2 linked regions of the Elephas maximus indicus genome follow. The protein of the gene in region 1 binds, or shares a complex with, the protein of each later gene. Links are inferred from orthologs where the notes say so. Each region holds a gene or a part of one and is shown on either strand. Other genes may lie near its edges.

Evidence for each region.
Region 2: the proteins of SCN7A (region 1) and SCN3B are in contact, whole or in part, in a cryo-EM structure (PDB 7TJ9), measured with the Homo sapiens proteins. The link is inferred for Elephas maximus indicus from reciprocal best matches to the Homo sapiens genes SCN7A and SCN3B. Residues at the interface, in NP_002967.2 of Homo sapiens: Arg269, Glu293, Tyr296, Leu298, Glu299, Leu305, Gln315, Cys316, Pro317, Glu318, Gly319, Tyr320, Asn922, Ile923, Thr926, Cys927, Lys929, Ile930, Phe939, Ile956, Tyr957, Asp959, Gln960, Ile966, Tyr970, Met973, Ile974, Tyr977, Ile978, Leu981; in NP_001035241.1 of Homo sapiens: Val25, Cys26, Val27, Glu28, Val29, Arg44, Ile46, Lys50, Arg51, Glu52, Glu53, Val54, Asn95, Gly96, Ser97, Asp99, Gln101, Asp102, Phe126, Phe128, Ala130, His131, Pro133, Val135, Thr154, Ser155, Ser158, Glu159, Met162, Leu165.

Annotation. Positions count from the first base shown.
Region 1 is NC_064824.1:64,590,240-64,606,368, forward strand, and holds the start of SCN7A (sodium channel protein type 7 subunit alpha), read right to left. Parts: upstream 6,018-16,129; 5' UTR 5,734-6,017; coding exon of another isoform or gene 5,724-5,733; intron 2,808-5,723; exon of another isoform or gene 2,721-2,807; intron 1-2,720. UniProt on the Homo sapiens protein: Sodium leak channel functioning as an osmosensor regulating sodium ion levels in various tissues and organs. While most sodium channels are voltage-gated, SCN7A is not and lets sodium flow through membrane along its concentration gradient.
Region 2 is NC_064835.1:16,864,345-16,880,188, reverse strand, and holds the start of SCN3B (sodium channel subunit beta-3), read left to right. Parts: upstream 1-9,453; 5' UTR 9,454-9,754; exon of another isoform or gene 9,755-10,278; 5' UTR 10,279-10,303; coding exon 10,304-10,358; intron 10,359-15,844. UniProt on the Homo sapiens protein: Regulatory subunit of multiple voltage-gated sodium (Nav) channels directly mediating the depolarization of excitable membranes.

The sequences.
Region 1 (16,129 bases):
TGTGACCAGTAAATGGAATCTGTATTGTTGAGAATGTAGGGACCACACCTGCTTTAGTGAAATGACCCATTTAGATTGACATTTTTGTTGGTCAGGGCCACTTGATTGCACTTAATAGACACATTAAGACTTACATTTCATCTTTCCCACATTCTGCAATGACTCACAGCTAAATTCTCTGACGCAGAGTCTTTCCCTTAGAGCCCTTTGATTAAAATCCTTTTTCTCCCAGGGTTTAGAAATCAAGAGATGTCACATGCACTGCTTTCTCTTATGGGAGATCCAAAAATATTGTCATTATCCCCTAGGAAGCAGAAAGCTATCAGGAAAGATGATTGAAATTAATGAAATTCTAAAGGATATGGATAATGTTAACACAATCAATAACTCTAATAGTAAATCTCTTGAGGCATAATTAAGACTCAGCTCAAGGGATGTGACCTTTTGCAGGCTGGGATCTAGAGCCAATGGGCACCCTCATATGTTTTGGAAAAGAGTGCTAATTAGTGCAGTTTTTCTAAAGGACAATCGGCAATAGTTTCTAAAATACAGCTGCCTGTACCCTTTGGCCCAGCAATTAAACTGCCCCATGAATAGTCTTGCTGAAGACTGAGAAGTCATGTTAACAAAGACGTTAATCACAGCATATTTTTAATTTCAAAGACTAGAAACAATCAAAGTGTCCACCCTAAGAAGTTAATACTATGAATTCCAGTATGTCACTGTCATAGAATACTTTTTAGTAAGACGGTAATAAGATAGATATATCTGAGCCCTTATGAAAAGATTTCCAAAATAAACTAAGTGAAAAAAGTAATATTGAGAATAGCTTGCATTGCTCATCTTTGATCAAAAGGATTTATGAAGATTTTAAACATGGAATTATGTATGCTGGTACATGCATGTTTCCCCCCTGGAAAGAAGAAAACTCTTATATCTATGCACTTGGACTAACAAGAACAGGAACTAAAAAAGTGTCAAGGGATTCTGTTGCTTTCCAGTTAATATTTCTATACTCCTTGGCTGTAACTCACTGTGTATACGTATTACTAAGACCCAGAAAGGTTTGCACACTGAAGATTTGGGAATAAAGGACAGTTTGACTGGGATGGCACCAGTCCACCTGGAATTTGCAGCTTTCCGTATGAACGGGTGTTCCATAACTTCCCCCTTGGCTTCAGTCCACTTGTTTTTCAGCTTTTGGGTTATACTTCTACTTGGGTTGATTACTTCCATTTTGATTATTCAATTCTTGCTTTTTACTTGTCCCTGTCATACCGTTAATCTAACCTGACTTAATTGACTTTTGCCTCTTTGTCCCTGGACTTATATTCTGCCTCAAGCTGTGTTCTGCTCACAGGTCAACTCATTCTGGCTTCAGGTCCTTTTCCTCAGTATATCCACTTAACTCCAACTCAACTCCTTCACTCTGACAACTTCAGCCAACACATTCCTAGAATATTCTATTTTGCAAAGGAAAATTGTAAATAAGTAACTTTCTCAAAAATATCACCATACTCTGCCATTTTGATTTGATTATATTCCTGAAGAATTTTAATGTCAGACATTCCTCTGAATTCAATGACTAGGGAAATGGCCTTATAAACAAATGGGCAGCAGAGAAAATCAAGAGGGACAGGTTCCATCACTCCCCAAATAAATAAGTCCTCTTTTAAGAACTTCCCCCAAACTCTGGTGACCTTGGGTTCTAGAGATGGTTCCTTAAAATAATCAGGAGCTGAGTTTGCTGTATGTGTTTCCTTTCCCCAAGGAGGAGTACAGGCCACGCATATTCAGAGTGGCACAGCCAACTTATACTAGAGGAATATGAATCCAAAGTGTCATATGACAAAGTCTCAGCACCTGGTCTCAAATTCACTTACAAGAATGAGCCCAGGAAAAAGTCCATTTTAAGTTCAAATGCCTAGAGGGAAATTCACAGAGGAGAAAGCCTCTGTTGGAAATGGAATCACGCTAGGGTGAGTCATTATGACTGGTGAGGCAATGGCCGCAAGAAAGAATTCCAGGAACATGAAGGAGAGTTGCCTTAGTTTTAAGAATTCCTTGTTGATCTTCTCTGTGACAAACTCATGGTTCACTATCAGCGTTCCTTGTTTCTACGGATATGATGGAAACTGCCAAGCTGCATGTATTCAGCCCATCAAAACAAGCATGTTGGGAAAAAGCCAGGATCTTGCTAGAATTAACTGTTCCATGACCCTAGTCCACCTGACCCTAGACCAGAAGAATCTGGCCAGAGGCCGTTTAAGAACTGAAGATGGAGGAATGTATTCTTCCCCAGCCCAGGAGAATACAAAGGAGTTCCTGTTATGCATGCAACTTCTAGTCTCACCAGCAACCCGGAGATTTTCTGACTTGTGGTATAAGATGCCGCTGGCACTACGGAATGCAAAAAAAAAAATGTACAAAAAATCCTGAACGAGTACATTCATTGGAACCCTGGTGTCCTCTTAGAACTGGCTGTCTACCTCAGACCCTACTCACTTTGAAAGTGTCTGTCTACTTTTCCAGTGTTTCCCCTCCACTACCTACTCTAGTTTTTCAAATGTGGAACCAAGCAAATAGATGTCCACCCCACCCCTTCTCAAATTGGAGAGCAACTAGAGGAAACTTGAAACATATTAGAATGAGTATGAGTTAGTTTTTATCTCACTCTGAGATGGGCACAGAGACTAGATATGGGTCAGAGTCAAAATTACAGCCTGTGATCAGGCAGTTAGACTATGCAGCACCTGGGAGTGCACAGAGGGTGAGAGATCAGTGGACCGTGAGCCTCATATGGAAACCTGGTATGGAAAGCAGAAGAGAAAGAATATTCCAGTCAACACAATTTATTCGACTAGGGAATTTGGTCTCCAAATGTGGCGGAATATCATTGTCATCTGATGTTCTCATTTAAAACCAAATGCCCTGTACTAATCTCAAAGCCTTAAAATCAGAATTTCAATGTGTGGAGCCCAAGCTTCAGCATCTTCATTAGGCTCTTATTTGATGTTGATGCAGCCAGTCTGGAACCTGGCTCTCACCACAATCAGAGCTGTCCACAGAGCTGGCCATCCCTAGCCAGCACCTGACTGAACCAATCCAGTTAGAAATACTGCATGTACAACAAGGATATCTGTCTTCCAGGCAAATGAGGATTCCCCCCATCGGATTAGAATACAAACAAATTAAGCCTGGTTTATAAAAAGCTATGATTGAACAAATATATGGAAATCATGATCCAAGCTGGGCCAAGAGATATGGAACAGCTGAAAAACAATCCTAAAAGCCCTTAGATGAAAATTTTCTCTTCAACTACCAAAGTTCCACCTTTCAATGTTGTACAGGTGAGACCTGGTTTATATGGCACTGGTTAGCCCACACCAATGGTGATCAACACAAGGAAAAAAGATCTGCCTGTACAAGTTAGTTCTACGTGCAGGTGGGTGACTCATATCTTGCTGATAGCTAGGGGAGATGGAGGTGGGCAGGGTTACAGATGTCCATCTCATCAGCTGCCCAGTATTGATACTGGTTAAATAATGAGACCAGATGCCCGGAAATCAAGAATGGCCCTTACATGTTAATGCCTCTATCATAAACCTTTGAGAGAGCTTATGATGGTAGGTTGAGGGTTGCATGTCAGTCTCTGAGTGCCCTAGTTGTCTGAAATAATTTCTGCAGTACAGATCTTGTGCCAATGAGATCTGGGGCCAGGGAAACATTAGGATTCTTCTCCCCTATATAAGGGGTTGAGCAATGTACTGTTGGATCCATTCACAATATGCCTTAAACCTGTATTCATCCTACCTGGGCAAAATCAGTGAGCATGTATTTCAACTATCCTAACTAATGCTTTTACCACAGGAGGCTGTGTAGACTGATTGCCCAGGTCCTAAGTGCTTGGTTCTATCTCCAGTTCTCCAATGGAGGCTGATGCCCAGCACCAGGTTCAGGGGCCTGACCTTGTCTTCTGGCCTCTCTTGGCCACTTTTCTTGAGCCTAGGTCCAACTTCAGGTTTTTCTCCTGTTTTAAACACAGTCATGGGCAAGAAGAGGCTTAGAGTTTGTTTCCTCTGAGTGTAGGATTTTAATGAATCTCAGCAGTCAAAAGTAGAGCATTTATGCCTAAATTTTTATTTCTCCCATATTAATAGACCAAATAAATTCAGCAATATCCAATATACATGGTGTTTTAATCCTGAGGGAGTTGGACCATGCACGTAAAACAAAAACTACAACTAAAAAGAGAAAGATGGTAAAGTGAATTTTGAAAACATTCAAAGTGTTTAATTATAAGTGGATAACCAAAGCATACAATTTTGCAAGGACAGAGGCTTGCAGTTAGAATATGCTTTAAGCTATATAGGTTGCAAGAGACCATGACCTGGATTTGAACTTCTTCTAGTGCATTCTAGTGAGGCCTGACAAGAATCTCCTTTCATTCCAGTATTGAACTTAATTGAGAATAAAAGTGCAGTGGAGAAAAAACACAGAATAATTCCTTATACAAGTAATTGTTACGCATGATATAAACCCTTCAGGTATCTCTGTTATCTAGTCCTTACCAGGACTTTTTGATGTGTCATTTACAAAGAGAGAAAATAAACTTTAATCAAGTTTAATAATGCTTCATTTGCATAAGGATTTCAATCAAGTGTTAGAATTCTAAATTCCGAAGTCTTCCTCACTCGACTTCCAGCTCAATATTGTTGACTAGCCAGGTAACGACATCAAATTACTCCTTTTTGGCTTTTTCTTTCTCACTCATAAAAATAGAAGCAATTACAGAACCTCCAAGTAGGGCTGGTTGTAGCAGGTATAGTGCCCAGTTCTATGTTTATCACAGGGCCCCAACTCCCTTCTACTTGCGATAAACTACTCTCCTGAGCAATAGCCAGGGGAAAAATATCCACATGAAAAAGCGCCACCCAAACTCTTCTCCAATTCAAGAGATTTTTCTGGCCGGCATCCAGACTTGAGTCCATCGTCTCCATTAATGTAGGGAACCATCAGTGATTCATCCCACATGCATTCATCATCCGTCCTGCTTTGACCAACATCCTAGCAACTGGAGGCCACATATAACCAGAATCACAGTGAAAACATTATTGCTCCTTAAAAGAAAACCTCCAGAAAATATGCATTTTACAAAACCACACAATGCAAAAACCTGTTGGCCCACACAATACCAAAATACCCAGTGGTTTAAACTGCGCACACCTTTCCCACCTTTCCCATCACATCTATGTATCTACTTCCAAACTGACAATTCTGACACAAAAAGCACTAATCTTGGAAATCACGAAGTTAATTAGAACAAGGGATGGGAGTCCTTAGAAGGATACTCCAACTCTGCAAAGCTTTTATTCCTTACATGTGAGCATCATTTCATGTAATATAAAAGTCATCACCACTTACGGTTTCTAGAAATTTTGCATTAACAGAACAACTCTGTTTCAGAAGCTTATGAGGTGGTAGGATGAGTAAAGGGACCACACAGTGAAGAACAAACACCCACCGGCCACCCCTGCTCTTGAAGTAGAAAAAAGACGTATCTTTTGCTCTCCTAATTTCTTTCCAGAATCTTAATCTCCATCCTCCTGCCGGCAATCCTAAGGAGGTGAATGGGGTGGGGCAGGTGGGGAGTTGGAAAGGCTGGCAGCTGGTGACTGCTATCACCATCCCAGGACAGGAAACAACAAGGAAAAGGCACTTACTTGCTACCATGTGACAGGTCTCCACCAGCACCTGAGGGAACCCTGAGAAGCTGGGCCTTTAGAAGCCCTTTCTTCCTCCTGGGCTTCTCTTTCTTCAGGGCTCTCTCCAGGTTCCTGAGCTCTGGTTGCTTAGGTGTGTTGCTAGGCTGACGTCTGCCCTCGCCAGCTGATGCCACCCAGGCCAGAAGGGTTCAGTTGTACACCGCCCCACTGAATTACCAGCTAGAATAGGAGTAATTGGGGCGGGTGCCCAGCCACTGACCCAGAGACCCCTCCTTCCCAGATGCCCAGTGAAGGCCCCGCCTGCTGCTTGGAAGCTGTTTTTGTCTCCTTGCCTCTCCTCCCTCCCCTCTAGCAGCCTCTCTCTCCCCCCGCCCTCATCTCCAGGCCAGTGCGCGCCTTCAGCTTGCAGACCGGCGTGGGCGGGGGTGATGTTAAGAGAGACCTGCAGCGGCGGCTGCGATAAAAGCAGCAGCTGCTGAGCCTCCTCTACAAACTGCCAGGGACGGGGAGCGGGGGAGACGGATCACTGAGGAGGGGAACCTGGGGAGAAGGCCTGGAGGAGATGATGGAAGGTAGGGGCGGGAGAAAACCAGAGAGGAGAGAAAGCAGGGATGCTGGGGAGAGGAAAGGAAGGAAAGAGAGAAGGGGGAGAGGAAGACAGCAAACTCTGGTCCTTTACCTATTTTTCTCTCAGCAGCTGCTTTCTCTCTCCCCACGGCTAAGTGCCCCAGTAGAGCGGCAGTTGTCAGCGTGCTGCATCCAAATCTGGACACTTCTGTAGGTAGGAGTGTGTAGTGTTGCTGCTGCTACTGCTGTGTGTGTGTGTGTGTGTGTGTGTGTGTGTGTGTGTGAAGGTGTGTGGGAAAGAGCCCGTGGGAGCTACTATAACCTTCTCACCTCAGATGCAAAATCTGTTATGCATATTTTGGAAAACTAGTGAGTAGCAGCGTAATTTGAGGGTGATGGGAAGAAGTGCTGGACCTTCTTTTCCAAAGGGAGTTTGGAAAATTTTGCCACACTATAAGACACTCATTTTATAGTCCTACCTTGATCTAAAATGGTGATGTTTCCTTAAAAAACACTCCTGCTACATACCAAGAAAAGTTTAAAAAATGTGGAAAGGTTATAAAATATGTATAATTATACAAAATTCAAATGTGATTTTCTAAAGTATGAAACAGAAATTATAAATTGGTCGCAGGATGGCACAAAGGGTTTGTGCTAGACTATGAAAGGTTGGCAGTCAGAGTCCATCCAGTGGAGCCAAGGAAGAAAGACCTGGCAATCTACTCCTGTAAGATTACAGCCATTGAAAACCCTACAGAGCACAGTTCTGCTCTTAAAACATGTGGCATCTCTATGAGTCGAAATCGACTGGACAACAATGAGTTTAGTTTGTTCTGTGCAAAATATGTCAGGAAAACAATGCTTCATTATATGCAAAAAAAGTCCTTGTTGCATGTTTTCTTGCTTAAATTATACTTTTAATATGAAAACTTTCAAATATATACAAAAATAGGAAGAAAGGATAATAAACCCCAGTGTATCCATCACACAGCATCGACTATTACCAATAGGAGGCCAATCTTGTTTCATCTATACCCCACTCACCTACTTTGGATTAATTTAAACATAGCCTAAACGGCACATCATTTCATCCAAAAATATTTCAGCATGTATCCTGAAAGACAAAGACTTTTAAAAAATATAGCTCAACACCATTATAACACCTAAAAATTAACAATAACTATTTGATTTTGGCATCAAATACCCAGTTAACTTTTTTTTAATTTTATTTATTTTGTTGTTGAGAATATACACAACAAAACTTAAATCAATTCAACAGTTTCTACATGTACCATTTAGTGACATTGATTACAAACTTCCAGTTGTGTAACCGTTCTCACCCTCCTTTTCTGAGCTCTTCCTCCCCCATCAACACAAATTCACTGCCCCCTACGGTTCCTGTCTAATCTTTCAAGTCACTGCTACCGATTTGATCCCGTATAGATAGTAATTAAAAGAGCATAATGCTCAAGGCAGACATTTTTTTACTAGTTAGATTAAGCTATTGTTTGGTTTTAAGAAGACTGCAGGGGATATTTTTGGTTTAAGGTTTAAAGATTATCTCAGAGCAATAGTTTCATGGGTTCATCCAAACTTCACGGCTCCTGGAAGTCTGGAGCCCATGAGAATTTGAAATTCTGTTCTGCATTTTCCCTCTTTTGATCAGAATTATTCTATGGAGTCTTAGATCAAAATGTTCAGTAATGGTAGCTGGCACCATCCAGTTCTTCTGGTCTCGTGGCAAAGGAGGCAGTTGTTCATGGAGGCAATCAGTCACACATTCTATATCCTCCTTTTATTCCTGACTCTACTTCTTCCTCTGTTGTTTCAGGTGAACAGAGACCAATTGTTGTGCCTTGGATGGCTAATTGCAAGCTTTTAAGACTGCAGGCACTATGCGTAGAGCTAGGTGGTAGAACAAAGGCACTAAACATGTTGTTAGGCCAATTAACTGGGATGTCCGATGAAACCATGACCCTAAACCTCAAACCAAGAAACCAATCCCATGAGGTTTTTCATTGTACATTAAATGAAAAACCTCAGCAGCTACTCTGTCTTCTTTTTTTTTTTGTCATTGTTGTAGATATATCTACCACGTAACTTTTGCCAATTTAACTTTTTACAGGTGTACAACTTATTGACAGCAATGACAATAACCGCCTGTGCAATACTATACTTAACCTTTTTTTAATAGACAATTTGTGGATTGCCAGCTTCTTTTCCGCACATTTTGTAGTGATAATTCAAGTAAATTTTCTAGCCCATGGAATTTTTCTTTGAAGCAATCTGATTTATGCATCCAATCAACTCCACAGCAGCTGTTCCCCGCCCCACCCCTTGCTGAGGAAACCCTGGTGGCATAGTGGTTAAGAGCTATGGCTGCTAACCAAAAGGTCAGCAGTTTGTATCCACCAGGTGCTCCTTGGAAACTCTATGGGGCAGTTCTCCTCTGTTCTGTAGGGTTGCTATGAGTCGGAATCCACTTGACAGCAACAGGTTTGGTTTTGAGTAAAATTTTATGTACCTTTTAGTACATTGCAACATAACATAGACTTAACAAACAATAATATCAAAAAGTTTAAAGCTTAAATAACATATTTGGAATATATTAAACAAAGTGTTATTTTGTATAAGTGTAATGAACAGGAAACCAATCTCAAGACATTGTACAAACCAATAATACAAGCAAAAGGCAAATTGATAATGGATTTATTCTTCTGAGTAGGAAACCATGCTTTTTGTTATTGCTCTGAAACTGTTAGACAATATTACTAAGCTGAACCTGACAAATTGTGACAATTATTATGCTCCAGAAAATAGGCTGATGTGCCCCCACAGAGTTGTTCAGCAAGGGGAGACGTGTGTGGTGGGAGGGCTCAGTTGCTGTCTATTTTCCACATGCCTGCCTTAAGAACCTTGGAAACATATACTTTAAGCTGTACTGCCTAAATACGTATTCAGAAGGTCGTGACTCAGACTAAAGCTCTAGCATGCATGTCCTGCCTTGCCTTTTCCAAGAGAAGCCTGCTCTATCGTGCTTCACTTGAACCACGATAGGCCCCTGGGAGCATACTTTCCTTGCAGCCTGCTTAAACAGAGGCTGTTTATTCCACCCTCAAAGAAATGAGGGTCAGAATTGGATGGACATGGTGTTTTTCGTCTTGGCTCATATCACCACTTGCAGGGTTGACAAAACCTTGTGTAAAAAAGGCAAAAACAAAATACAATAATTCTTCACAAACCCAAACAAATCAAAACTCCTCCTTTGAGCATATGTCCTCCTGCTGTATCAGCCTTTTCTTCTGGTAAAAATCATCTTCTGACTTAATGGACATTCCTTGCTTATTCCTTGAGGATTTATTTTCTGGTTGAGAGCTTTCCCCTCCATCCAACTCTTGTTATGGTTTTTTAACAACTTCCTCAAACTTTTGGATGATAACACCATTTGGATGAGACATAGCTTCTGATTTCTTCTCTAGTAGACAATCTTTATCTCCACTCCACCTCAACTATGAATTCCCACACTCACACATTGAATAGTGTCGTGACTAGGACTGTACTCATTTCACATGCTAAATATTTATTGCTTATTTGTTTATTTTCTGTCTTGTCTCACTGGAACGCATGTTGAATGACAGCTGACTTTATTTATTGACTGTCATACACTGGTGCTTGAAACACAGGTTGTCACGTAAAAGGTACTCAGTGAATCTGTCAAAGGAATGAACATTACAAATGACCCAATCCATATGGACCTCAGGGAAAATGTAGTAATTCATCACAGAAACACACCATGTTATGTGAAGAACATGAGCATTGTTGATCATGCTTTCCTTCTGCAAAACTTCTGGTATTTTTATACTTAAAATGCTTCTTTAATGTACAGGTGTGAAAATCTCCCTCGACTGTAGAAGCTTGATACCAAGCTCAGGTCTGCCTGAAAAGAAATGGCGAGAACAAGAAAATCCAATCTTCTCTATGGGTGAATGCCAAGGCACTCAGAGAAATAAATCACTCAGCACCAGAAAGGCACTTCCCCTATCTTATTATAGAATAAGAAATAGATATTGGTTTTGGATTGTTGTCAAAATCCAGGTCTAGATATTTTTTAGGGTCGACATGATATAAATTATATTGTAGACATATGTCTCTCTAAGTCACTTGAATTTCATAATTCCTAGCTTCATATTTTGTTTCACCAATGCCATTTAACTTTCTAAAAATCATGGACAATGTTTTTGACGAATACCTGTAATCTTTTGCCTTCAGCTTTTATTATCCTAACAAATATATACAAACACAGTGTTGCAAAGCCAGAATCAGTTTCTTATGATTATTTTCATGTGTATAGCATTCTGTTATGATTCAGTTTATGTGTCTGGGTTCCTTATAGCTTCTCCAAGAAAATGTTGTCACAGTCTCCATCCCTGTCTTAAAGTTCCGGAACTATCAGACTTTGAACCTGATTAGTGAATAAACCTGTAAAGGGTGGTTTAACTATCACAGAGAAACAAAAACCTTATTTCTTAGGGCTTCTCAGAAATGAAAAAACAGACAATTGATGGTAAGAGACAGCTGGGCTTCTCTATGAAAAAGTAGCAAAAACTCTTTTAGGGCATTCTCTCTTAGATGCTGCCAAGTTGATTCCAACTCACAGAGACCCTATATACAACAGGACGAAACACTGCCTGATCCAGAACCGTCTTCACAATCATTGTTATGTTTGAGCCCATTGCTGCAGCCATTGAGTCAGTCCATCTCCTTGAGGGTCTTCCTCTTTTTCGCTGACCCTCTATTTTATCAAGCATGCTGCCCTTCTCCAGAGACTAGTCCTTCTTAATAATATGTCCAAATTATGTGAGACAAAGTCTCGCCATCCTTGCTTTTAAGGAGCATCCTGGCTGTCCTTCTTCCAAGACAGATTTGTTTGTTCTTCTAGCAGTCCATGGTATATTCAATATTCTTTGCCAACACCATAATTGAAAGGCATCAGTTTTTCGGTTTTCCTTATTCATTGTCAAGCTTTCACATGCATATGAGGTGATTGCAAACACCTTGGATTGGGTCAAATGCACCTTAGTCCTTAAAGTGACATCTTTGCTTTTTAACATTTTAAAGAGATCTCTTGTAGCAGATTTTCCCAGTGGAATGCACTGTCTGATTTCTTGACTAATGCTTCCATGCATGTTGATTGTGGATCCAAGTAAAATGAAATCCTTGTCAACTTCAATATTTTCTCCATTTATCATGATGTTGCTTATCGGTTCAGTTGTGAGGGTTTTTGTTTTCTTTATGTTGAATAGTAGTCCATACCGAAGGCTGTGGTCTTTAATCTTCATCAGTAAGTGCTTCAAGTCTTCTTCACTTTCAGCAAGCAAGATTGTGTCATCTGCATATTGCAGGTTGTTAATGAGTCTTCCTCCAATCCTGATGCCACATTCTTCTTCTTATAAGTCTAGCTTCTCTGATTATTTGCTCAGCATACAGATTAAGTGTGGGGAAAGGATACAACTCTGATGCACACCTCTCCTACTTTAAACCACGCAGTATTCCCTTGTTCTGTCCCAATGACTGCTTCTTGGTCTAAGTACAGGTTCCTCATGAGCACAATTAAGTGTTCTGGAATTGCCATTCTTTGCAATGTTATCCATAATTTGTTATGATCCACACAGTAAAATGCCTTTTCATAGTCAATAAAACACAGGTAAACATATTTTTGGTATACTCTTCTTTCAGCCATGATCCATCAAACATGCAATGATACCCCTCCTTCCACACCCTCTTCTGAAATATTTTGTTCAGGTCTTTTACTTCATCATTTCTTTCTTTTGCTTTAGCTACTCTACGTTCAGGAGCAACTTTCAGAGTATCTTCTGACGTTCATTTTGGTGTTTTTTTCTTTCCTGTCTTTTAAATGACCTTTTGCTTTCTTCATGTATGATGTCATTCAACACCTGGCCTGGTCTTCGGTCATTAGTGTTCAATTTATCAAATCTGTTCTTGAGTGGGTCTCTAAATTGAGGTGGGTTATACTCAGTGTCATACTCTGGCTCTTATGAACTTGTTCTAATTCTCTTGAGCTTCAACTTGCATATGACCAATTGATGGTCTGTTCCACAGCCAGCCCCTTGCTTTGTTCTGACAGATGATATTGAGTTTTTCCATCATCTCTTTCCACAGATGTAGTTGATTTGATTCCTGTGTATTCCATTTGTCAACATCCACTTGTATAGTTGCTGGTTATGTTACTGAAAAAAGATACTTGCAGTGAAGCCAGGGCTTTTTCTAGAAACTGTTTATTCTAGGCCTGGAGCAGGAAATATACAAGGTGAGCCTGGAGCATCTTGTAGTGCTATAAGATAAGGAAGTGCTAAAACAACAACAACAACAAAACTCCAAAAAAAACCAAAGCCCACATTGATGGGGATATGTAAAAGAGACATTAGGTGCCAAATGAAGGATCTCTGAATGGCGAAAGCTGGAGCAATTTGAGAAACAAAATAATGTTGGTTAAACCCAAAGTATAAAATATCCATGAGTCCATACTGATATAAGTAGATAATGGAATAAATTAATAAATGGGGAAAAGAAACTAATCTTTTGTGCAGAAGAATTCCAAATAATTTATGTAAATAAGTCACCCTAAAGGAGGGGGCCTGAAAAATCAGCTGTTGAAAACCCTATGGAGCACAGTTCTCCTCTGATACACATGGGCTCACCGTAAATCAAAATTGACTTGATGGCTGTTGGTAAAAATCCATCTTTCTGAAATGTTATAAGCAGAGAAGACAGACGTTTTTTTCATCAGTACATTACAGAAAAAGAGAAATAATAATAATAACGTAATGTGAATCCGCTCCTTCTTCAACATTCTCTCAAGCCATTTTGACTCTCACTTTATTCTCCCTTCACCCAGCTATCTTTTATTTGCTACATCCTTAGAGAATATTTGCTGCTTCCCATGAGACAGACTTAGCCGTCCAAGTTATGGGCTTTCATATTGCTTACTTTAATTAATTGTGTCATTTTAAAATTTCTGTCTTTCTCCCAGAATGTAGCAACCAGGAAGTCGAAGAATGTATCTTTCTTACCTGTATGCCTCACTGTATTGTGCACTGTCTTTGGCACCAGAAACTTTAAAAACTTCCTTTTTATTTTTGTCAGACAGACTCAATGGCTGAAATTATGAGCTTTGGAAACTCAAGAATTGTTGCCTATGCCAAGTTATCTGTAAAACAAGGATAAAAATGTATCTATGTCTAAAGTCATTAAGAAGATTAAATGATGCAAAAGTATAAGGTTTTTGACATAGTAATTACTTGTAATTACTTAATAAATGTTAGATATTTTGTAATTATTTGACTAAATTATTACAGAACAATAGCAGAAACAAAACAATTCCAAAACATTCATTTTTAATAAAATAAAAATGGACAGATTAAAGGAAATCATGCCACATTGTAATTAGACTGGCCTCCTGGGAACTGTGACTACTTATAGAAAAATACAACGAGGATTTTGGACATGCTGGAGAAAGGCAGACAATAAATTATGCAGGCTGAGTAGCAGGGAAAAGTAAGTTTCCTAAATGCACTAAATGCTTTAAAGCTATTAGAGCTATATTACATTTAGGTCTCTTTCTTTGCATAGTTGTGGCCTTGGTACAAGCAAATGTATGTAACAATATTACATGGTACTGAGCATAATCAATTTACAGTAAATGCTTAATTAATTGTTGAATAAATGAGTTTAGAAATCTGTGACTTTAAATTTATTTCATAAAACGTAATATAATGTTTTACAGGCACGCTTTTCTATGTAGGTGTCATATTTGGCAAAAGTATTTGAAGAAAGCCTGGGATGGAACCAGGGAGAAATTTGAAACTCTATAAGCAATGTGGTAGGACATTTCAATCAGATTATCTAAGACTGTCTCTGTACCTGTCTATGATGGTTAAGATTGTGTGTCAACTTGGTTGGGCCATGATTCTCAGTATTTATATGTGCTCACTCCTATGATGGTATCCGCTGTGAATAGCCAATCACTTGAAAGGGAGTTTCATTGGGGGTGTAGCCTGCATCCAAATATAAGCAGACGTTCTGGCTTTTTGCTTGCTCTGCATCCTGTTGCTGCTTCCTGTTCATTTGACCTCTGGTTCTTGGGATTTGAGCTATCAGCTTATCTGCCAATCTTGGGATTTGTTGATCTTACAGCCTGTGAGTGGAGCCTTGTTCTCCAACCTGCCGAACTTGGATTTGCCAGCCTCTGCGGCCAGGTGAATCAGGAAAAGCCTCTATCCTAATCCACAGACTTGGGATGTTCCAGTCTCTACAATCATGTGAGCCATTTCTTTGATATAAATCTCTCCTTATGTATATTTATACTCTTTACTGGTTTTGCTTCTCTAGAAAGCCCAGCCTAAGACACCCGTCCCACCTTCCTTTCCTCTGATGACCCAAACAGAGGGGCCTGCCCTCTTTCCTAAGATTTATTTCTCCCCCTCATCCTGATTCCTTTCTTTACTTGCCTCTTCAAGGACCTTGCACAATTACCTTTCACCTCTTTTACTTCACCTAAAAACTCTCTCATTTAACTAACCTATTTTTTTATATATATAAATTAGGTGGACTCTATCCACAGGGAAAGACACAAATGCACAAACCTAGGAAGCTTTGCATATAATTTCATAAGGTTCATGAAACAGCCTACCTGTTAATCTTTAAGTAGATGGGGCAGTGAAACAAACTTAGAGTTTTCTTTGGGCTACCCATCGTCTCTTTTTCCTTCCACCTTCTTAAAAGAATAGCTTATCCTTGAAGTTTCAGCTTCCTCACCGTTCTTTCATTTTACTCTGGAATTTGGCTCAGCCCTTCTACTCTTCCACTAAAATGCTCTTGCCAGGGTCAATAATAAGAACATCTTGATGAAGAAAACCATACACCAGGAAAAGATTAGTCCAAAGGCTTAATGCATCACAAGTACCACAGCCTCCACCAGACTGAGTCCAGCACAGCCAAATGGTGCCCAGCTACCACCACCGACTGTCCTAACAGGGATAACAATAGAGGGCCCTGGACAGAGCTGGAGAAACATGTAGAACAAAATTCTAACTCACACACATGCACAAAAAAAAAACAAAACAGACTTACTGGTCTGACAGAGACTGGAGAAAACCCAACTGGATACCCTTTTAACTCAGTACTGAAGTCATTCCTGAAGTTCACCCTTCAGCCAAAGATGAGATGGGCCCACAAAACAAAATGAGACTAAATGGGAACACCAACCCAGGGGTAGGAACAAGAAGGCGGGAGGGGATAGGATAGCTGGTAACGGGGAACTCAAGTTCGAGAACGGGAGAATGTTGACATGTCGTGGGGTTGGCAACCGATGTCACAAAATAATATGTGTATTAATTGTTTAATGAGAAACCAATTTGCTCTGTAAACCTTCATCTAAACACACCCACACACAAAAGAACATCTTGTGTGAATAAGGTATCTTGCAGAAGGGACTCAGGTAGTAGTTGATGTCTCCATAAGATGCCATATTAATTTATCTTTAGCTTTTTTTTTTTTTAGCTTATATTCTCACAAAAATTTTGCAAAGTTTACAATGCAAAATAATTAAAATTTAACCTTTAAATGATAATTAATTGATATTATGTATTACCCTGTTTTATAATTTAGTACATTTCATTTTGTTACAATTACTTTTTCCCTCTGGGAAATCATGATGTAATGTTAGGATACTAAAAAGTGGGCATGTACTTCCATAAAGTTATGGAAGAAGTTTCTCTAAATGCCAGAAATGGATCTTTTTCAGTTTTCATCTGCCT
Region 2 (15,844 bases), on another chromosome or scaffold:
GTGCCCTTCCCAAACACCAGACACAGTCTCATTCTTTGCACGTATTTACAGAAACGCAATTCTGCCGAACTTTTAAGAAGTATTTTATTGTTTCAGATGGTCTGGTTACAAAGGCCCTTCCATTTCCTCCTTTAACTCCTGGGGTTGGTGTGTTGGGCCTTTCCTGGCCATGTGGCTGCTGGTGAAATCTGGGTCCATTAGAGGGGCAGTGAGAAAGATCCAAGCATGGAAAACAAAGAATTGATGGATCTGGTTCTGCTCCATGCAAATTGAGTGACCAAGTCATTTAACTTTTTTGTATTTAGCTTCCTAAGATAAATTGGGTAATAACAGTGCCTACTTCTTATTAATGAATGAAGGAGGGGGTGAAAATAATACATACTATGTTTGTGCTAAGGGCCGAGTATTATGCCAAGTGGTCTATATGTTTGAGTCATTTAATCTTCATAAATAGCTACAAGATAGGTATTATTATTATTTTCATTTTAAGGCTGAGGAAATTGAAGCTCATATAAAACAATTCCAAGTCAATTCCGACTCATGGTGACATCATATGTCAGAGGAATTAAATAGCATGCCCAAAGTTACACAGGTAATAAGCAATGTATAACCAAAAAACCAAACCAGTTGCTGTCAAGTAAATTTATAGCGACGCTATAGGACAGAGTAGAACTGCTGCATGGAGTTTCCAAGGCGCAGCTGTATGCATGTGAACTGCTGACCTTTTGGTTAGCAGATGAATGCGTAACCACTTCACCACCAGGGCTCCAAAACAATGTATAACCCTTATTATATTATTCTTTTCCATCACTTCATTCTGTTACTCCAAATCATAACCTTACTTGAAAATAGTGCCATTCAGTGAAAGATGCCCCAAATAAAGAGCCAGGAGAGTGCCATCTGCATCTCCAGGTGAGCTTCTCAGAACACCCATACCTCCATCAACCATTCCTGCTCTTTGGGACATTCTACTCATCCTTTCAAGGTTGCCCTCAAATATCACCACTTTCAAAATTCCCAGACCCCTACTCCCACCCCATAATTTATGTCCCCATCTTCCAGGCCATCTGCATACAATACTACCCTTACCACACTCTTTCACAGTTATTTTTTAAAGCCAGAGACTAGTACAATACCTGGCATAGAGTGAGGATGCAGTAAAGGTGTTCTGAATGAATGAATGTAGTGTGGCAGTATTAATCTCTCTAGATGTCAGTTCTTGCCGTCTAAAATAGATGTCTAGTATTTCATATTTCACAGGAATATCAAGAAAATTCAATGAAATGTTAGTATATCTTAAAAAATACAACGATTATATTAGATGAGGCCAAGCAGTTATTTCTTTTACACAAAGAGATAAGCAACCAGGAGATTTTCATTCACGCTAATCCATGTAAACTCTCTAAATGATAAATAATTATAACTCCCTCCTCCCGCCCACAAAAACGAACACACAATATATTGGATTGTCTTATGTCTTTTTCTTAGATGTCATACTTTTCCATCATACTATAAGTTTTGTGAGTAAAGGGGTTGTGCCTACTTTTTCTCACCCTAAATACATATACACACACAGCACCCATCTTAGAACTTCACATTGCACATTGAGTCATTAACTGTCTGATTTCAACATGAACGTGTCTTTTGATGGTGAACGTCTTACAGGAAGGAGTTCTTAAGTCTTTGGAGACAAAGAGCCTTGGTTTTGAGATCTGGCTTAGGCACATGCAGGTTGAGTAGCCAAGTCATTTAACATCACTTGTACAGTAGTTCCCAACTTACATGCCGACAACTCCATCGTAAGCCAGTTCTGACGTAAGTTGAACACCTCATTTTCATAAATCTGATCATTGTTTTGAGGGGTTGCTATGAGAATGATAACATCAGCAAATTAAGCACTGCAACATTGTATGCAGTACATATTACTAACAAAAGGATGTACAAAAAAAGATGGGCATAAGTGCAGTTCATCATAACTTGAATATGCTGTAAGTTGGGGACTACCTGAGTTTAGTTTCCCCCTGTGTCATGGATTGAATTATGTCACCCCAAAAATCTGTGTATCAGTTGGGCTGGGCCATGATTCCCAGTATCATGTGATTTTCCTATATTTTGTAAATCCTGCCTCTGTGATGTTAATGAGGGAGGATGGGTGGCAGTTGTGTTAGTGAGGCAGGATTCAACCCACAAGATTGGATTGTGTCTTGAGGTAATCTCTTGAGATATAGAAGAGAGAAGCGAGCAGAAAGACTGGGGGACCTCATACCACCATGAAAGCAGTGCTGGGAGCAGAGCGCATCTTTTGACCCAGGGTGCCTGCACAGAGAAGCTCCAAGTCCAGGGGAAGATTGATGAGAAGGCCAGCAAAGAGAGGGATGTCTTCCCCTGAAGGTGACACCCTGAATTTGGACTTTTAGCCTACTTTACTGTGAAGAAATAAATTTATCTTTGTTAAAGCCATCCACTTGCGGTATTTCTGTTACAGCAGGACTAGATGACTAAGACACCACCCCCACAACAGAAAATATATATATGTGGATAATAATAGTGCTTACTCAATAAAATTGTTGTGGCGAGAAAGCATGCCCTCAAATATTATTATGATGATAAAGATAATGATGTTGATATGGAAGTGATAATAAAGATGATGGTAAATCATGAAAAGCTGATTGGTTCTCATCATGCTGAAGTTAAAAGTTGAGTACATCTCTGTAAAGATTAAAGACGTAGTCCAAATAGGAGCCTAACATCCCTCAGCTTTATAAAAACCAAACCAAACCTGTTGCCATCGAGTTGATTCTGACTCATAGCGACCCTGTAGGACAGAGTAGAACTGCCCCATACAGTTTCCAAGAAGCAGCTGGTAGATTGCAATTGCCGACCTTTTGGTTAGCATATATAGCTCTTAACCACTACGCCATACGGGGTTTCCAATAAAAAATCCAAAACAGATCCACAGACATGATCTCATTTTTTTCTCACAGCAACCCTGGGAGGCAGACAATTAGAGACGGAGAATTGGCTCAGAGAGGGTAAGTTAAACGGTCACAATGGAACGAAGCCTGGGAAACAGGCCGCCTGTCCCTGACGTGGAACTCATTTTTCTCCTTCTTCCAAAATATTTCTGATGAGCATTGAGTCAGTCTGGACCAATTGTTGTACTTGCTCCAAGCATCAGAGCAACAGCAGTATTCAGATCAGCAGCAAAGGTAATAATGACACTTATTTCTCCAAGGGTTCTTTTCCTTCTGCCTACCCCAAGAGTTCCAGCCAAATGCATGCTAGAAATGCATAAAAACGTATGTCATGCTAACAGTAATACTTGAAATATATCATAACTTTTCTTCTGAGGAGCTCGAAGTGCCTTGTCAGTCATATCTTCTTCATTGCCATTCAAATGTCTGGACTATAATGATTACCTATTGACAGCTTGCTCATTAAGGGCGTTAACTACGGGCTCCCTGGATGTTGGTCAAGAGAAGTGTGACCTGAGCTTCTTTTGTAGACAGGGTGGCATTACAGGTGGAATTGGGGTGCTCCTGGGTGGCAGGAAAGCTCCACCTTCCCTAAATATCCACTTGGAGCTTGGTTCAATTCAGCAAACATTTCTGGCCCCCTCTCCCTGCCAGCTCCTCTGCAATGTGCAGATCCAGGAGGGGACTGCATACTCTGGTTGTCATGTCATGTTTCCTGATCTGATCTGATGTGACCTAATCCCAAACTTCTCTTGGCCAGTGACAGTAACCACATGGCTGGGAGACAGGATGAGGAAACAATTTTGGGGAGCCTACTATTGATTTATTGACTATCTCTCAGTTCCATATGTGCTCTTTGGCCATAGTTTAAAATAAACATTTTTCTTTCCACTCCTTGTCCCACGGGGTGTGCATTATTTTTCGAAATCTACTTAAAACAGCAAAAGCAGGTCATTTGACTTGCCTAGATTGATGTCTGATTTCTGAATCTTGACCCTTATTGATTTATGTGTTCATCTTGAAATACTTTTCTTGGCATTCTTCTATGCATGAAGAAGTATCCCACAGCGATTCCAAGCCTCTCCCTTGACCCCAGATTCCCTGTCCCCCTACCCTCTACTCTCAGGGGATCATTTTCGTCCTGCTTTACCAAGATTGATAAGTGTGTCCTAAGGTCCCCATGTTGTTGTTGTTAGTTGCCATCAAGCTAGCTCTGATTCATAATGACCATATGTACAACAGAACAGAATGCTGCCCAGTCCTGTGCCCTCTTCATGATCGTTGGTATGCTTGAGCCCATTGTTGCCACCCATTGCGTAGTGCCTTCCAATCTAGACTATTTCCATTGGCTAATTTTCAGAAGTAGACAACTTTTCTTAGCTTTTCTTAGTCTGGAAGCTCCACTGAAACTTTCTCACCATTAGTGACCCTACTAGTATTTGAAATGCCAGCAGCATAACTTCCAGGATCATAGCAACACACAAGCCATCACAGTACGGCAAACTGATAGACAAGTGGTAGAAGGTCCCCATATTTTACCTTTACTCACAATGTCATTGCCACCACAGCTGTCTCTAATTCCTCCCCATAGTCTTAGTGAAATGTGGTTCTTTCATCAGGAAAACTAACTTTTCCCTGAATATTTCAGATTCCATTGCTTCTTCCCTCAACAGAGTCATTCCCTCCCCTCCACCTCAAAATCTCTGAAAATCTCAGCCTCCATACTCCCTGTCCTCTTCCTCCACCTCTGAGCACAATTAGCTGGAGTCCCCTCTAAATAGGAATGCCCCTCAAGTCTTGAGACTCTCTTGCCTACTGTGGCATTGCATCTTTCTGGATCCTCTGTTTCTCTGACTACTCTTCTTGTTCCCTCTATTGATTCTGGCCTCAGCTCTTCTCTCTTTCCACTCTATCTCCACCCCTTCATATGTTTACTTATTCTCTCATCCAGAATACGCAGAGGCTATGGCAGTGAACGAGACAAACAAGACTCCTGCTTTCATGGAGCTTAGATACTGATAGGAGAAAACAAGCAAGTATGTAAATCAAAAATAAGATAATTTTGAATAGCAATAGAATACATGACGGAAAGAAGCAGGGTAATGAGAAAGGGAGTAAGTTCAGGTGGGGGAGGTGGGGAGATTAGATTAAAAGGGGTGCCCAGGGATTTCTCTAAGGACAAGTCATTTGAGGCAAGGCCCGAATGACAAGAAGTCAGCCATGGAATGGAGAACATTCCTGGCAGAAGGGACATCTAGTGCTTTATGGTAGGAAAAGCTTGATAAGTTTGAAGAACATTAAAAAAACAATCAAGTGTAGCTGGAACATTGTGGACAAGACAGGGAGTGATAGACATGAGTGTGGAGAAAGAGCCAGCAGTCAGGGGAGGCTTATTAGGCCATGGTGAAGAGTTTGGACTTTATTCTAAGTGCAGTGGGATGCCACTGAAGGGCTTAAGCAAAACAGGTACATGACCTTATAGAAAGAAGATAAAGACCTCTCTGGCTACTGTTGGGAGTATTTAAACAAATGGTTTCATCTGTCAACCATAACAGGAGAATTATCACTTAATCGAAAAAGGTCATATATCAGCAAGAAAGAACTGAAGCCAAAATGCAGAAAAGAGGAAGAGATGAGTTAAACTATTCAAATGAGTTAAAGGCTGAATACAAGGCCAAATGTACTTCAGGGAACTTAAGGAACTTGCAAAAGTGACTGAGAGCCATTGCCAAAATTCAAGGGAAATGTCAGAAGACAGCAGGGAGCAAATGTGTCTATTTTCAATAGAGAAGAGAGGAGGAAAAGCTTAAGGAAACTGGAGGCAAGTATATTTTTCTTAACTTCTCAAGTGAAATCCACAAATTAACTGTTTAAAATGGGGTTACCAAACATTTAGAAAAGGACAATGTGATTATTAGGAGTCTGCATAGATAGGCTAAGGAAAAAATTCTGTAAAGCTAAGCCAGTTCCCCATGATGGTAGTTGTGGTAGTTGTCGGTGTGGTGGTGCTTGTTAGGATTATCGGTATGAAAATATCTCAGTCACTCTGTATATCTCAATCTTGGAAGACATTCAATAAAATCATAGAATGGCAAAGATGTATGGAGCTTTATCAATAGGGTATCCCAAATTTCTAACCTATAGAAGATTTTTTTTTCTACGACAGTAATTGGTTGTAGAGGAAATGCTTGAACATAACAAAAGGTAATTCATTCCACTTCATAACGGTTTGAAATGTATTGCTGAAAATCTGTTTCCATATAACTGTAAACCATTGATCTTATTGCTTTACTCTGGATCATTAGAACTCTAATTCTTCTCACATAAAGCCCTTTAAGTTTTCCAAACATGTCATGCCCATGGAAAACAGGGAGTTGTGTTTGGGTATTTATTTAAGATTAAGCAACCATATTAAAGGAGTCTAATTAGTAGTTCATTGTCATATAGACTGAGGTCTCTAGAGGAATGTCAAAGGATTCTTTTTGTTTACTTTCTGTTCATTTTATTTATTTATTTTTTTTATGCTACGATCAAGCGACTGCCAAGTCCAAAGATGAAACAAGGCTAAAGAAGAGACATATGTTGGGTGATTGAATCTAAATTCAATAAAACTGTTAACAGGATGTGATAATTGATTGGAACTAATGTATTTTAACAGCAATAAGTACAAATTTTCAAAGTAAGGCATCCTAAATTTTCTCTATGAGTACAAATGACTGCAACCAACAGAGTGCAAGTGAAAACTACTTAGGGATTTTAATTGACCAGAAGCTTATTATGAGTGAGATGTGGTGTAAGAGGATTTGAATAGCCAGACCCTCTAAAGCAAGCATGACCATATTTCCACTGTATTTATGCTAGCTGACCACATAGGAAACGTTAGTTCTTGTCCAGATGTCACTTTGAGAAGGACACCAGCAAACTAAAAATCGTCCTGAGAGGGCAACTAGGGTGGTTAAGGATTGGAAATACCCTGAAATAAATTTATGAAGCTTTTTGTTTGTTGTTGTTAGGTGTCGTCGAGTCGGTTCTGACTCACAGCGACCCTATGTACCACAGAACGAGACACTGCCCAGTCCTGTGCCATGCTCACAATCGTTACGCTTGAGCCGGTTGTTGCAGCCACTGTGTCAATTCATCTCATTGAGGATCTTCCTCTTTTCTGATGACCCTGTACTTTACCAAGCATGATGTCCTTCTCGAGGAATTGAACCTTCCTGACAACATGTCCAAAGTATGTGAAAAGTAGTCTCACCATCCTTGCTTCTAAGGAGTATTCTGGTTGTATTCCTCCAAAAAAGATTTGTTTGTTCTTTTGGCAGTCTATGGTATATTCGATATTCTTCACCAACACCACAATTCAAAGGCATCAATTCTTCTTTGGTCTTCCTTATTCATTGTCCAGGTTTCGCATGCATACGAGGTGACTGAAAATACCATGGCTTGGGTCAGGCGCACCAGTCTTCAAGGTTACATTTTTGCTTTTCAACACTTCAAAGAGATCCTTTGGAGCAGATTTGCCAAATGCAATGTGTCTGTTGATTTCTTGACTGCTGTTTCCATGGGTGTTGACTGTGTATCCAAGTAAAATGAAATCCTTGACAACTTCAATCTTTTCTCCGTTTATCACGATGTTGCTCACTGGTCCATTTGTAAGGATTTTTGTTTTCTTTTTGTTGAGGTGTAATCCATACTGAAGGCTGTGTGGTCTTTGATCCTCATCAGTAAGTGCTTCAAGTCCTCTTCACTTTCAGCAAGTAAGGTTGTGTCATCTGCATAACACAGGTTGTTAATGAGTCTTCCTCCAATCCTGATGCCCTGTTCTTCTTCAGATAGTCCAGCTTCCTGGGTTATCTGCTCTGCATACAGATTGAATAGGTATGGTGATAGAATACAACCCTGACATACACCTTTCCTGACTTTAAACCATGCAGTATCCCCTTGTTCTGTTCAAAGGACTGCTTCTTGATCTATGTACAGGTTCCTTATAAGCACAATTAAGTATTCTGGAATTCCCATTCTTCGCATCATTATCCATAATTTGTTATGATCCACACAGTTGAGTGCCTTTGCATGGTCAATAAAACTCAGTTTTTAAACATCCTTCTGGTATTCTCTGCTTTCAACCAGGATCCATCTGACATGAAGCTTAGCACCAAATAAAAAGTCTTGGGGTGGGAGTTGGGAAGCAGAGCTCTTTCAAAGATTTAAGACGCGTATTTTGCTCCAGGAAACAGCGTTAGGATACTTAATCGTGTTTGAGGGAGGAAAGAGAGGTGTACAGAATCCAGTGGAATACAAAGAACTTCCCTAAACAATAGAAGTAGTAAAGGCCCTTCACAAGGAAAGATCAAGCCCACTCCTCAGGTGTGTTCTAGGGGGTGTGGAGTTCACGAATTGGAAAGGAGGTTGAGTTTTGTCAACTTTAACTTCCCATCCAAGGCTTTTAAGGGCTGTCTTCAAAAGAACATAGTTTACGGGCTGGTGGTGTGCTGCTCTGGAATAGGGCACATTCTGTTGCTCGTCATATTTTAGGACAGAGAATTTCCTGCAGCGGGTTCACTTACACCCAGCTGTTAGGCTGCGGTTCCCTTTTGAAATACCAGTGTTAAGCTACTGCTTTTGGAAAAGGAGCAGGGAAGAAGAAAAGAGGGGGGAGAGACTCTTGTATTAATCTTTCATTTCAGCCCCAAGCATTCCTAATCTATTAAGTCAATTTGAGCTTATAATTGAATTTAAAGGTTCAGGTTTCCCTTCCAGAGATGGGGCGGGGAGCTGAAACAGCTGCTAGAACTAGGGAGTGGCTGGCTAATAGTTGGAAAGGGCCAAACTACAATCTGTTTTTAAATAACAACAACAACAGAAGTGGTTAGAGCAAGAGGGAGGGCTGCGAAGAACCAGGGGAAGGGAAGAGGAGACCTATCTTGCCCCCACCCTCAGGGCCACTCGGGCTGACATTTGGCTCACCCCACTGAGGGATGAGGTGAACACAGGGAACAGGTGCGCCCCACTCTTACCCTCACTTCCCCTAAACAGGGATTTTCTTGCTGCGTTCGGTGTGCCCGAAACCAATTAATCAAGGCCAGAAAAAGGCTAGACAGGGAGAAAAGAAGGGGATGGGGTCGGGGGAGAGAAGCCCGGAGCCATGTAGTATGTACATTGCAGATGACATCATTGCCTGAAAGAGATTTGGCCCTCCCCTTCCTGGAGCTGGAGGCAAGCATGTCAGTGCGGGAGCAGGAGTGGGGTTGCCTGGAGTGCGTGAATCTGTGGGAGACGGTGCACCCGTGCTTGGGAGAGGTGTAGAGGCGTGGGATGAAGACCTGGAGACAGCGAACAGAGTGATTGCAGGGGCTGGAGGCGTTTGCACCTCCCAGGGCTCCGCCCCCACTCTGCTCCACACTCCGCCCGCGAGGGGCACGCCTGTTTTGGGGGTGGGGAGTGTGTGCGCGAGGGGGTGGGTCCGTGGTGGCGCCCGGGGGAAGGGGGCGGGGAGCCGCCTGCGCATGTCACGGCTGACCCGGCACCCACGGCTAGGGAGCCAGGAGAGCGGCAGCTGGTCACCGGCCACCGGCCACCGAGGATCGGGGCACTGCGCGATCCAGAAGCGAGCTCCGGGGAAGGGGCTCGCCCTTCCCACCCACCCCCACCTCTGAGATCGCCGGCCAGACGGTAGCCTCCGCCTCCTTCCCGGACCCTCCGGGCCTCCCCGGGGAGCCGAGGACGGGTGTGGACTGACCAACGTGGAAAGACTCCTCCAGCTCAGACGGACGGCCCAGGTGGCTTCGGGTGTGGGGGACACGCCCAACTGGAGAAGCCGGCCGGGGCGGTTGCAGCCGGAGCTCCGGGGTGGCGGTGAATATTGGTCGGGGCGTAGCTGTTCGTAGGGGAGGAGCGGTGGCTAAACATGGACCCCTTCGACAGCAGAGCCGCCTAGCGCAGCTCCTCGCTTCCCAGCCGAGCTTCCCTAGGCGCAAACGGGTGAAGGCAGGGGCGCTAACTGGAATCTGAAGCTCCGGGTGGGCGGGGAAGATACTGTCCTTGGTGCTGAGCCGGAGCCGGGCCGCGGGTTCGGGGAGCCAGCACCGAGCTGCTGAGCCGCTCCATCCAGTTGGGGCGGTCGACTAGGGTAGCTTCAAGCTGAAACTCCCTGTCCGGCTCCAACAGCCCACAGAGCCTCCCCGGGGCTCTTGGCCCTTCTGTCAGTCAGAACGTCGCCCCCTGGGGGCAGTTCGTCCCGAAGGGTTTCCTCGAAAGTATCTAAGAGGGCGCAGTCCTTGACCGAGGGAATCTCTCTGTTTAGTCCCGGAAGCCACTAGCTGAAAAAGATGCCTGCCTTCAACAGATTGTTTTCCCTGGCTTCCCTGGTGCTCATCTACTGGGGTAAGTACCAGCACCCTGCCGTACAAGATGCAGATACCAGTAATAATGCTAGCGATAATAACACATATTGATGGCATTGATGGCAAAAAGGAGTCCCGGTTGGCTTCCCCTATGTGCATCTCTGGCAGACACGAAGAAATCCGTAAGGGATTCCATGCAAGCTGGGAATCTGAGGTGGGAAAGACGCCTCCCCTCCGGAGCCTTATTCCCCAACCTCCCTTGGTGGGTCTTCCACCTCTCCTCTAGTTTCCTGGTCATTCCAAAGGATTTCTTTTTCCTCTGCTGAAAGGGAAACGCAGTCACTTTCATTATATAAAACAAACAAACAAAAATCTCCTTGATTGCAGTTTCATCTTATTTTTAATGAGGAGCCAATACTTCTGAAAATCTTGCCGGATCTTCGAATTAGTTTCCTACATTAAAAAATAAATAAAAGCTATATGCATGCATTTTGAGAGTGAAAATGGTTCAGTTGTAGGTCCACCTGCTTCATTTGAATAACGAATGGGAGGAGAACAGGTCTCAGCTATTTACTGCTGTGTATTCAATAAACAGCAAACTGGGAATTGGATCTTTTTTTTTTTTTTTCCATGAACATGTGGAGCTAAGGTGCTTTGGTGTTTGCGAAGCTAGATGTTTTACGTCTGAAGATGAAGACTCTTGTTTGTCTATTGTGAGAGACTAAGGTGACCTTCTCCTTCCAAATAAGGGAGTCCCTCACTTGCAACAAGAAGGCTAAGCAAGGATGGTGTCAGAGATGGGCTATCCTAGAGGTGGCGTGCCTGAATGTATGTAAAAGGGGCTTAATGAGCCTACCTGATAATGTCTGAATATGTGATAGAATGTTTTACTGTGTGTTAATGTACCTTTCAATGTCTGAATGTGTGCTAGTGTGTGCCTGAGCAGATTAGTGTAGGGATCTAAATACACTGGTGAGAATAGAATCATGTGTGTGTATTTGTGTGTGTTTAGGTCTGGGCATCTCTGCCTTGATGTCTCTGATTAGACCATCACAGTCAAATGTAGGTGTCCTCCAGTTGATACATTGCTTTACGTGATCTTAGCTACCTTTCTCCATGCTAAAATAAATAACCAGGGTAATTCAGTATGATTGTGCCCACTGAGACATGTGGGACTATGCTCTCGATTGGCATGGACCTCATTCTGCCCGTGCAGTGGCAGACGTGCTGATGGGAATTGCGTCTTTGCCTTAGTATCACTTTGTCAAGCCTCCAGGACTGGCTCTGGCTGCCAGCGTTATCTGGATTTTGCATGTGACCAGAGACAGAGCCAAGTTTCCTGTGGAACAAAATGCCTGATGGGCTGAGGAAGACAAGGAGGGAAAATAGTGTCAGCCCCAAGGGCAGACTCACCGCCATCCATCCCCAGTAGAGCAGACCAAGCTTAGAGATGCAGCAGACATAATAGGTTGCCAATGATCTCACCTGCCTTGATGATTTAAGGCTGCGATTTTCTCAGGGGAGGCTGAGACTAGGGACATGAAGCTTAGGAGATGTTAGTCTGACTGGGTAGGAGAGAGCGTAGGGAAAGCAAGCAAGGGGAGATGAAGTTGGGGTAATATTCTTTAAAGCCATGAAATATCCTCCCCAAAACCCAATATTTCCTAATCTAAGTTTTTAGGGTCCCTGCCTGGATTCTTGTGAAGGGTCTTTTGTTTGGGGCTTGAGAAGCCTGGCTTGGAGCTTTGCCACTAGATGGCTATGTAACAACCTCAGAGCCTCAGCTTCCTCATCTGTAAAGCAAGGACGTTGGAGCAGCGGATGATCTTTACCATCCCTTTCAGCTGTACCACTGAATGATGGGAAATCTTTACAGAATGTTGCTAGAATTGGCAGATTGCCCAATCCCACCCCTACCCTGCCATGCAAAATAAAAACCTTTGGAAGAAGCATGCACATTACACACATCCTTGCTTAATCTCAACTGCTTTGTAATCTGAACATCTGTTCACCAAACCCCAAAGCTGCAGAGGCAAGGAGGGATGGTTCAGGAAAAGCTGGTTGTTAACTGTAAGAGAGTCCTGCTTCACAAATGCCATTTCATTTTATTTGCATGTGATCCCAGTACTGGAAAGCGTTTAGCTTTAGTAGCAGTCCCCCTTCCCAAGTTGGTTTCTCATATGAGGCCCAATATGAATGGAAAGAGTCTTCTCTATTCTTTTATTTTTTGCATGTACTGAAAAAAGTTCCCTTATTTCCTTTAATGAAACATTTTCTTAAAAAAAAAAAAAAAAAAACCTGACACTTGCCTGGTACTTTACAGTTTACAAAGCAATTTTCCATCCGTGACATCTTTTGATCTCCGTAACAACCCTATGAGATAGTCAGAGGACGCGGTATTATTTGCAGTTTAGAGAGGAGAAAATGACCTCAGGGGGTAAAGGACTTGCTAGAGAACTCCTGTCTCACGATTTCAGTCTCCCAGCGCTCATTCTAGCACGTCTTATGGACACAGGAACTGCTATGTAAACCTGCCAGGTGGCATTGTCCTCCCTTCTTGGCTCTGGGCCCCCCCAAACCCGACTGTCTTTCCTAGGCCCTCACCCATCCTTTAGGCTCCTAGTGCCTTCTATGTTCTTCCTCTCCAGGTCTACCCGTCCAGCTGCACCCTCAGCTTCCCTCAAGGCCCTGCTGAGTGGCTAATCCAAGAGACTGAGTCATTTCAGGGTGTTATTATCTAAAAGCATATTTATTTATTATACCCTTTTGGAAAATACTTACATTCTAACCCAAGCTTTCATTATCTTGGTGCAAAGAAAAGCACTGTAGAGCAGGCTCAGGAGGGGGAATTTGGCAACGCCCAAACCAGAGAAAGATTTAGGGAAAGTACAGGAGATGGTTCAATATATGTTACTATCCACCTCGTAATAGATTGATGCTATTCCCTAGTTGAAATTCCTGGGTGGTACAAATGGTTAATGTGTGTGGCTGCCAATCGAAAGATTAGAGGTTTGAGTCTACCCAAAGGAACCTAGAAAGAAAGCCTTGGTGGTCTACTTCCCCAAGTTTAAAAAAAAAAATCAACTACTGAAAACTCGATGGACCACAATTCTTCTCTAGACACGTGAGGTATCCATGACTTGCTATCAACTTGACTGCAACTGGTACTGGCATTCCTTAGTTAGATATAGCCATCATATTCTTCCTTTGTTCTTCATAGTTTTCCATTATTACTGTGAAAACTGAACAGGAGACTGAAGGTCAAATGACTTGGCCGAGATTATTCTAGGAGCTTATCATTTTTATAGTCAGCAATGTTGGTTGAGCAACTGCCATATGTACAAGCTCTTCTTGGATACATAGAGAATTTCACAGAAATTGAGTAATGGCGTGCTGGAGCCCAAGGTACCTGGGTGGTGCAAATGGCTTGTGCTTGGCTGCTCATTGGAAGGTTTGTGGTTTGAACCTATGTAGAGGTGCCAGGGAAGAAAGACCTGGTGATCTGCGTCTGTAAACATTACCACCGAGAAAACCCTATGGTGCTTAGTTCTACTCTGTAACAAATGAGGTCATTGTGAGTCAGGATTGACTCAAAGGCAATGGATGCTGCAGCCAATTTGCACCCACTCAAGACAGACAAGTTCACAGCTCTTCCCAATTCTGTGTTCAGTCATGTTGGTAGCTTGACATTGGCTTTAGTGGGCATATTTACACCACAGAGATTGGCAAACACTACAAATCAGGACCCTTTATCCCTCCCAGAGAGCCAGTTTGTAAATATTTATGACAACACCATTGCACAGAGTGAATAATGCTGCCCTCATTTTTAAAAAATTAAAAAAATAAGAATTAGAAATATACTTATGAGATGCACATGCAAAAGAGGACAGAAACAAATCCAGGTGTTCTAACACAGTGTGGTGGATGGGACACAGCTTTTAGAATCAGGCTGCCCTAGGTTCAAATGTCTACCTGTATGACCTTGGGAAAGTTACTTAATCCTTTTAAGACGCAATGTCCTTATCCGAAGTGGGATAATAGTACCTCCCTTGTTGCCAGCTTATTATATGGTAGTAAGTGAGATAACATAGGTAAAGGGACTCAGGAAAGAGAGACCAAAAACAAAAAAAAAAACCAAACCCAGTGCCGTCGAGTCAATTCCGACTCATACCGACCCTACGGGACAGAGTAGAACTGCCCCATAGAGTTCCCAAGGAGCACCTGGCGGATTTGAACTGCCAGCCCTTTGGTTAGCAGCCATAGCACTTAACCACTATGCCACCAGGGTTTCCATTCTATATTGTTGCCGTTCCATATTCACCATCCAGACTGCATATATACCACCTTTAACTGTAAGTGAATTGACTGTGCTCCTAATAAAGGCCAACCCATCCACTAGAGAACATGTCCTCTCACCTACTCAAGGACATAAATCCGGTACATTATTCTCTTTCAAATCCCAACACCTCCACTACCACCTTCATCCAAACAAAATCATCTCTGCCTGGTCTCTATATCAGCCTCTTAGCTGTTCTCCATTCTTCCTTCCTTGTCCCACCTTGCCTCTTTAGACTATTCTCAACACAGCAATCGGATTTTACAAAGTTTGTGTAAAATCAGATCAGGTCTTTCTTCCACTCAGAACCCTCCGGTGCTCCCCATTTTACTTAAAGCAAAAACCAAAGTCCTAACCATGGCCTGGAAACCCTGGTGGCTTTGTGGTTAAGAGTTTGGCTGCTAACCAAAGGGTCAGCAGTTCGAATCCACCAGGTGCTCCTTGGAAACTCTATGGGGCAGTTCTACTCTGTCTTATAGGGTCGCTATGGGTCAGAATTGACTCGATGGCAATGGGTAACCATGGCCTACAAGGCCCACCTCCATGATCTGGCCTTGGCCTAGCTCTCCCGCCTCATCTCCTATTCTCATCGTGGTCACTGTACTATCCACATTGGGGTTCTTGCTGCCTCTTGAGCCTTAAAAAATACACTCCCCCCCTCAGACCTTTGAATTGCTGTTTCCTCTCTCTGTCACACCTTCCCCCAGATATTCACATAACTCAAGCCCTCATTGCTTTCCTTCAGTGTCTGCTCGATGTCACCTTCTCAGTGAGGACTTCTCCAGTGACTCTATGCATGCTCTATCTCCTCTGTCATTGTGTGCCATCGGACTCATAGCGACCCTATATATGACAGAGTAGAACTGCCCCATAGGGTTCCTTGGGCTGTAATATTTACGGGAACAGATCGCTAGGTCTTTTCTCCCACAGAGCTGCTGGTGACTTTGAAAATGCCAGCCTTTCTGTTAGCAGCCAAGCGCTTAACTGTTGCACTGCCAGGGCTCCGCTTCTATCTCCTCATTGTCAGTTTTGGTTTTTCCTATAGCACTTACTACAATTTCATATTGTTTATTTTCTTTCTTCCTCCAACTGGAATGTAGGCTCCCTGAGAGCAGGGATGGTTTCTGCTTTGTTCCCTCTTGTATTTCCAGTGTCTAGAAGAGTGCCTGGCACACAATAAGCACTCAATA